2 linked regions of the Ovis aries genome follow. The protein of the gene in region 1 purifies or fractionates together with the protein of each later gene. This does not show direct contact. Links are inferred from orthologs where the notes say so. Each region holds a gene or a part of one and is shown on either strand. Other genes may lie near its edges.

Evidence for each region.
Region 2: the proteins of DMWD (region 1) and USP46 purify together in Homo sapiens (affinity purification with mass spectrometry; 5 studies listed by BioGRID and IntAct, counting the BioPlex papers as one, with this or other methods). This does not show direct contact. The link is inferred for Ovis aries from reciprocal best matches to the Homo sapiens genes DMWD and USP46.

What each region holds. Positions count from the first base shown.
Region 1 is NC_056067.1:53,113,043-53,117,380, forward strand, and holds the start of DMWD (dystrophia myotonica WD repeat-containing protein), read right to left. Parts: upstream 3,006-4,338; 5' UTR 2,924-3,005; coding exon 2,483-2,923; intron 1,231-2,482; coding exon 1,048-1,230; intron 1-1,047. UniProt on the Homo sapiens protein: Regulator of the deubiquitinating USP12/DMWD/WDR48 complex. Functions as a cofactor that promotes USP12 enzymatic activity.
Region 2 is NC_056059.1:69,023,451-69,027,258, forward strand, and holds part of USP46 (ubiquitin carboxyl-terminal hydrolase 46), read right to left. Parts: intron 3,346-3,808; coding exon 3,265-3,345; intron 860-3,264; coding exon 646-859; intron 1-645. UniProt on the Homo sapiens protein: Deubiquitinating enzyme that plays a role in behavior, possibly by regulating GABA action. May act by mediating the deubiquitination of GAD1/GAD67.

The sequences.
Region 1 (4,338 bases):
CCCCTCAACACTGCTCTGGTCACCCAGCCTTTCTGCTCTCCTGCTTTGGGCATCTGTGCTAGCTGTTCCCTCTATGCAGAACGTCCTTCTCCCCAGTAACTTCTCCTGCCTCCTTCAGGCCCTTTATTTCCCTGTCACCTTCCAGCGAGACCTTTCCTAACCTCACCAAGCACTCCCCATTCGCCTCCCCTGCTGGATTTTCATCCACAACTTGCTGACACACGGCATACTTAGGTAGTTGATAACTGTCTCTGCCAGCGAGATGAAAGCTCCACAAACAGAGGGCCCTCTGTTTTGTTCACTGAGATATAATACTCCCAGTGCTTAGAGCAAAGTCTGGCAATGAACGAGAATGCTCAGTTAATATTTTGTGAATGGATAAACTAGTCCATTTTTAATCCATTCCCCGTTCAACTCACTTTCCTCTGCCATTCATGCTTTCTGTACATTTGGGACACCCTCTCTGAACACAGGAGAAAGAGAGGACAAGAGTAGTTCTGGACACAGATAAACTCCTCCGCTGACATTTCCCCTTACGCCAGGACTGAGCAATCTCCACATGTGATTTTACAACAGTCCTGTGAGGTAGGGACAGGAATCCCACTTTGCAGTGGAGGAAAACTGAGGCTCAGGAACAGGCACCTTCCCAAAGCCACACAGTGAGTAGATGATGTAGTCCAGAATTTGAAGAGCAAGGGCTCTGGCTTCAAACAAATCCCAACCAGTGACCAGCCTCAGTTTTCTAATTTGCAGAATGGGTCTCACAATCCTAACCTATTGGTTGATGAAAATGCCAGGAGTAATGTGTCCAGCATAGAGCTAACACCGCACAGGGCCTGGGCACCAGAGGTGCACCTGTCATCGCTGGCTGTCATCAGAGTAACTGCTGTCCGCCCCCCCAACGTATCTGTCAGTCCTCCCCCATCTCTGCCTCACCCTGCCCCCACTCAGGCCGACACTGCTCAACAGGCAGCTGTAGTCTCACACAAACAGCCTGCGGGCGGGTGGGGCGGGAAGGAGTTGTGAGCCATGGGGCCCCATAATCACCTCCTCATTGAATAGTTTGCTGGTGTCCTTCTTGATGAGATCCAGGTACTGGACTTGGCCAGCTGAAAAGCCCACCAGCAGGGAGATGGTCTCCGTGGCAGCAGTGAACTGGTTGAAGTCATGGCAGGTGGGCTGAGTGCCCTTATAGATCCGCTTGTCAATTGGCTTGTTGAGGTCAATGGACTTGAGTGGTGGGAGAAAACGAGTTAATGGCTTCTACCACTGACAGGAAGGAAGAGGGTGTTGAGGTTGGGGGAAAAACCACTAAGAGGAAGCAGGGCTAAAGCCCTGAGGGAAGTGGGTAGGTGGATGGGTAAATGAGGAGGGAAGGGGAAACCACAGACAGGAAGGACGACCCAAAACACAAACAGAAGAGAGCGCCAGGCAGGAAGGCTCCCCTGCTGCCACCACATGAGGCCACTAAGTGCCTCCTTCCCCAGGCTGGACGCCCCTCCCCACCCAACTTCAGGGACTCTTGCCTACAGTTTCAGTGCAGGGTCCCTGCAGTTCCTGAGCTTTTATACCTTTCTTGTCCTCCTCCATAATTTCAGCAACACCCCTAGGTCTTAGCACCACAACATTCCAAAACCACCAAAACTCAGGATCACCCAATCCCCAGAATGCTAAAGCCCAATGTTCCAAGAGTCTCTTCACTCTGGAGTTCCTAAATCTCAGAATTCTCATCACACAGTTCAGGAACCCATTAAATCTCACAGTCCCCCCAAATTTTAGGTGCCTTCATCACCTCTGAGCTCTCAGGATCCCCAACACTTCCGGAGGCCACCATTTACTCCAAGGGTCTCACGTCCTCTAGGACCGACATCACTTTAGAGACACCTGTCATACCTGAGGATATCACCTCCATATTTCCCATCAGCTCCAAGATTCTCATTTCCTCCAGCACTGTCATTAATCTCCAGAACCCCAATTTTCTCTAGAGTCCCATTCACCTTCATGATCCCTATTACCTCTAAGCCCCAGTCACTTCTAGAATCCTCCTTATCTCTGGGCTCCCTAAGTCCCCCGGACAACCCCAGAATGCAATATCCCTGGGTATCACTTATGAGCCTCCAATTCCTAACACCTGCAAAATGCCTGCCAGCCAGAACCCTGGAGGACCCCACAACCATCTCGAATTCTCCATCACCTCCACAACAGTCACTATCCCAGAAGCCCCAAGCATAACCTGGGGATCTCACGTGATCTCAAGGCCTCCCACCACCTCCAGGATGGTCAGCACTCAGGGGGCCTCCACTCACCTTTTAGAACCCTGCATCACCTCCAAGAACCCTTTCCCCCTAGGACTTGCATCACATCCAGGATGCTTGTCTCCGGGCCCTCTGTCATTCAGGTACCCTCCTGTCACTTGTGAATCACCTCAGGGGTCCCCATCCTCTCAGCCTGCACCCAGGGCCCCAAGGTGCAGGCCGCTCACCCGTTGGCTCCCACGGCGACAGCAGCCCGGGTAGAAATAGAGCTCGCGGCCCAAGTTGAAGCAGACGCGGTCTCCCCCGGCGCCCAGCCCCGCGGGCGTGGCGGGCGGCTCCCCGGCCCCGGCGCCGTCGGGCTCCCCGAGACGCACGAGGCTTAGGCGCACAGCAGGCAGCGCGGGCCCGGGCCCGGGGCCTGCAGGCGGAGGGGACGGAGCGGGGCCCGCGGCGCCGGGGCCCGAGGCAGAGGCAGGGCCGGGCTGAGGCTGCGGCGGCTGGGGCGGCGCCGGGGTCTGGGCGGAAGCCGGACCCGATCTGCGGGCGGCGCCGTCGCCGGGGAGCAGCTTGTAGAAGCCCTCGCGGGTGCGGAACTGCGACTTGATTTCCGCACAATCCCCCATGGCGGCGCCGGGGCCAGAGCCGCCCTCCGCGCCGCCCGCCGCCATCTTGGGCGCCCCCCCCCAACCCCAGCCCCGGACCCCGCTGCTGCCGGACCGCCGCCCGCCGCCGGGCCCCCTGCCGGAAGCCGGGGTCCGCACCGGAAGAGGTGGGGTCGTCGCCCGGGCAACGCCTTTTCGATTGGCAACAGGGTAGGGAGGCGGGACGACCTCCAGCCGTCGCTCCGGTAACGGTTCTGGGTCTGAAGGCGGGGCTACAAGGTGGGCGCGGCCTTAGTGCCTGCGACCATCTAGTGGTTGGCTGTGGGGGCGGGGCCCTCAGGGAAAGAGGCGTGTCCATAAAAGAGCCATAGTCCCTAGCAACGGCACCCTGGGAACCGTTTGCCTAGCAACGGGAGTACCCGCAAGAGAAGGCCTCGCCCACAACTTGTCCTTCCCATGACGTCACAGAAATGACTTCAGGTGACCCTAATGTCTCCTGAAGACTCCCAACATACACCCTCCAGTGTTTTCCACTTACATCTAAAGTCCCCGACTGGCCACAGCATCTCCAACCCTTCCTCTCCACCCTTGATGATCCTGCAAATTTCATTGATCTCCAACGTCTCCATAAAACTCCAGCGACTTCATCTGACCCAATACTGATTAATACTAACAGCAAAAAGACCCTGATGCTGGGAAAGACTGAAAGTAGGAGGAGAAGAGGACGACAGAGGATGAGATGGTTGGATGGCATCACCAACTCAACGGACATGAGTTTGAGTAAGCTCCGGGAGTTGGTGATGGACAGGGAGGCCTGGCGTGCTGCAGTCCATGGGGTTGCAAAAAGTGAGACACGACTGAGTGATTGAACTGAACAGCTCCACATTTTCCACCAAACTCCTATATATTTCCACAACCTCACTCACTTCTCCAACACCCACCAAAATTTGATTGATCCCTGCAATACCCTCGGTGTCCCAATAATCCACTGGTAATCCAAAATCTCTTCCTGATCCCAACAGCTCCCTAACAGTCAGTGTCCCTCCCTTCCTGCTCCCATCACAGATCTTAAATGAAACTGACAATTTCACTTCAAATCCCACTCCTCTCCTGAGTCATTTTAGGGGCAGCACTGCCATTCCTTCCAGTCACCAGGCTGCAGATTTTGGTGTTTCCCTAGATTTCTGCCATTCCTCTTCACTCCCTGATTACAATCCCCAAGTCTTTTGCATTCTGTCACCTGAATTCCTCTATTCCACTCCATTCCTCTTTGCAGCCTCCGTTGAAACTCCTCTCCTGCTTGGACTCTCCCTGTATCAGCCTTGTCTCTGCTCTCCCAGACCCATGTCTCACCCTTCTATCTACATTACACTTGGGATCTAGAGAGGTCTTTCTAAAGCACAAATACGATCAGGGCCGGCCCACCGCTGTTCAAAGCCCATCCATGGCCTCCCTAGGGCTCTCAGGACAGAGTTCAACCC
Region 2 (3,808 bases), on another chromosome or scaffold:
AAGGAAGAAAATCAAGTGACAGAAGGACATTTTTATTATAGAAAAACATCAATTTGCTATCCTTCAACTCTTTTAGACATATAAAAATCAGAGGTATTATTTTTAAAACAGCAGAGGCTCTAATTAGATAATGTGCATTTAGTTTAATCACTTATGACAAGTTTATAAGACAGTACTATTTTATTCAATTACTACATCAACCTATTTATTCCAGTCAGTGTCCTGCCTTGGGCAATTTTTCCTCTTATAATGATCCTACCCAGAAAAAAGTCCTCCGAATGTGGAGCAAATAAAAAGATCATTCCATTTTGGAAGGATTAATTACTTTTTTTTTTTTGGCCATGTGGCATGTGGGATCTTAATTCCCTGACCAGAGATGGAACCCACAGCCCCTGCACTGCAACTGTGGAGTCTTAACCACTGAACCACTAGGGAAGTTCCAATCAGAATTTTTAAGTATATTTTTTGAATCCAATTTTTACTGGGTGGAAAAGAAGAAATATCTTGTATTTAAAACCTGAGTAGTTGGCCATACTATTTTCCCATTTAAAAAAAAAAGAGGGGGGGGATTCATTTTGAGGTTACACAGACCTGTTGATTCTCCTTATCTCAGATCTGAAACACATTCGTCTCCATGTTACTCACCATTTTCTTTTCTCAGCCTCGAAATGAACTTCTTTGGTGGGATCACGCCGACCTTCTTCTTCTGCGTGGCGATGCTGTGGAAAAGGTCTGCCAGGCATGTCAACAAGTTCTCTTTCTTCTTTTGCTGGGCCTTGTACGCCAGCACATTCTCCCGGAACGGCCGGCAGAAGTACAGGGCTTGGAGAACGGAGTTACAGTAGCATGTGTTTCCGAACTGCCAAAGGACAAGAGGGCCGATTTAAATCAGGGTTCTCTGCAGCAGCGAGGAGAGGGAGGGGCCGCCCTGGTGTGAACTGGCCCAGATCCCCTGTGTCACGGGCTGCATGCCGTGGTAGACCAGCAAGCCAGGCCGAACACCAGTGACTAGCTGATCGCCAGGGAAATGAATCCTAGTATACACAAGCTGGAGAGCTCGCTAGGCTATAAAAGTCTCTATAAAATGATAAGGGACACTCGGCCCTGGTTTTTAAAAATCTAATGAGACTTTCTGGTGCTCAAAAGAGAGGGTGAAGAAAAAAAAAAATCAACATGATATGGAGACATAGAAAAGCAGCTGGCGACACAAAAGACGTCACACTGCAACACATCAAAACTCGTATGACAGGGACAATAAAAACCTCAATCAGAAAGAAATCCAGCTACTAGGAACCGCTTGCTCAGCTGAAACAGCCTTAACTGAGTGGGGACTTGTTTTAAGTTTCTCTCTTTCAAGGGTTTGGCACTCCTGCCACAGGCTTCAGACTAATCGCCTCACTTTCTCCAAAGCAATCTCGTTTCTGCCAAAGTAGCCACTGTCTCAATACAATAGCACATAGGTCCTGGTCTCCTGCCACCGTAACAGGACCCACAGAGTGACACGCTGCACTTCTCAAAAGCCACGGTTATGATTTAACGAGGCAAAAAGTCATCATCTCACTGGTTTTCAACTGACTGGATAACCAGTTCTATGGGAGAACACATAGCGGAGACGTTCATTTTAGAGTTGCTCATATGTGCTAAAATAAAGAGGGAAACCATCTAGGACAATTAGAAGATTAATAGCAGATTAGAAAATGCTGTGTAAGATTGAAATGGAACATGAACACCTTCTCAAGCCTGGTAGCTGGCTTGTGTGTCATCTGCCCAAGAGTGAGGCAGATGCACGGCCATCCTTAACGGGACATTTCTTCGTATGCTGATAGAACACTTCCTATTTTTATACATTTTAATCTACTTTGACACAATTACGTGATGAGACAAACCCCTTTTTAAAGAGAAGCTGTAACTTTCATGAACTACCATTCAAAGTGAACATGTACAAAACTATTATTAGGTTTAGATCTCACAATGCTTCCACAGGCTAGGAGATGGCTTTAGTTCTTTATTCCTCCATAGTCTGCATCCATCTTTTCCCTGGCCAAGGCAGAACTCCCTCAACTTAAATAACTATCCTCATAGAGCTTAAGCAAGAGGCCTTTGCCCAATGCCTAAAACGCTGCATTAAAATTCTAAGTCAGTATTCCATCAACACAGTGCCCTATATGCCAGTACTTTAGCCTCCTCCTCCCATTCTTTTCCTTACTCAGTACCTCACCTTTAGCCAGACACCCTTTAGTAACACTTGGCTCCTGGGAAAGAAAAGGAACTAACATTTACCGAGCGTCACTGTGCCTCAGCCTCATGTCAGGACCTTCAGTAGGAGCTCTCACGGATCCTTCACTATAAGCCAAAGTGTAGAAACCGCTGTGACCCATTTCACAGAAGGGGAAATGGAAGCTCAGAGAGGGCAAGTGACTTGCCCAAGATCACACAGCTAGGGAGCAGCACAGGCAGACTCTGGATTAGGTCTGTACTACTTCAGAGACAATGTCCACTCCATTAGTCCACAGCGGCATTCACTCAGAACACTCAGTAGAGACTATGACCTATGACACCTGAGTTCTGGCAGACCATGCTCAGAGCAGTTGTTCTAGAAAACCTGGTGCTAGTGAGGTAGCAGCTGATGTTATTTACATCCTCCACCCCAGAGAGAAAGGATCAGCTGGAGAAGAAAGCTCATGAGGGTGGTGGGTAATATTGCCTTACTACCCAGCTATCATGAACTTATCCAGGACACAGTGCCGAACAAGTCTGGCTATATACAAGGGGACCGTTGCTGAGCACAAGTGAAATGAGGCCAAGGGATTTAGAGATAAACTGGCCCCAGTCTCCCCCCACTTCCAACCCATGCTTCAGATACCAAATTATGCCACGAAGCAACCACTGGTGATGAGCTCTGGTTGAGCTGATGTATACAATCTGACGAGCACATTCAGATGGTAAAGGGAGGACACACAAAAGCAGATTTTGCTACAAAGGCCAATAATATTGCTCTGAAAGTTAGTGTGCAAAGGAAATCCTTTAAAGCACAGGGGGGAAAATGAGAATCTGACCTAATAATGCACTAATTAAACCTCCTCTTCTGGGGCAACTCATACTTCCAAAAATTGGACTAAATATCCCCTACTCTAGTATTTGCCACCTATGGTAACCAAGGAGTATGACCAATTATTTAAAACTTGGTAATGATGAAAATGGCAGTGACATTGCTTCAAGAATGCTAAAACACCTGATTAAGACAGTACATTTCAAAATACTTACATTGACCAATCCGAAGTAGTGTTCATTGATTGGAAACTGCTCTGGACCAATGTCTTTTTCCAGAGCAGAGGCATTGGTGCCCTGAAAGAGAAAAACAGCAAAAGTTCTGTTGCGTGTAAAACAGACAAGAAAGCAAAAGGATACTTGAGAGAGCCCGCTATTGAGACCAACATTTCCCCTAGTGGCTACAGAGTCTGGAGATGATCATGCTGAAAACAGGTGTCGGAAGTAAACCGTAGATGAGGTAATGAGGTCAGCCTATTCCTGTCCTCACCCAACTTCATCGTCCCTCAAATCTGTTCTACCCAGCTTCAATGACCTTCCATTAGGAAAGCAGGTTTAGGACAGGTAATGAGCAAACTGCCACTCAGAACTTCCAAATAAAATGTTCTAAGCTCAGATACCTGGAGTATATTTTATGCTACTCAGTGGTGTATAGAATCATACCACCAATTTCAAAGTCATGGTGTTTTTCTGATAAAGATTTATCTACTGTGCACCCACCACATGCCAGGCACTGTTCTAGGCTCTGACAACAGAACAG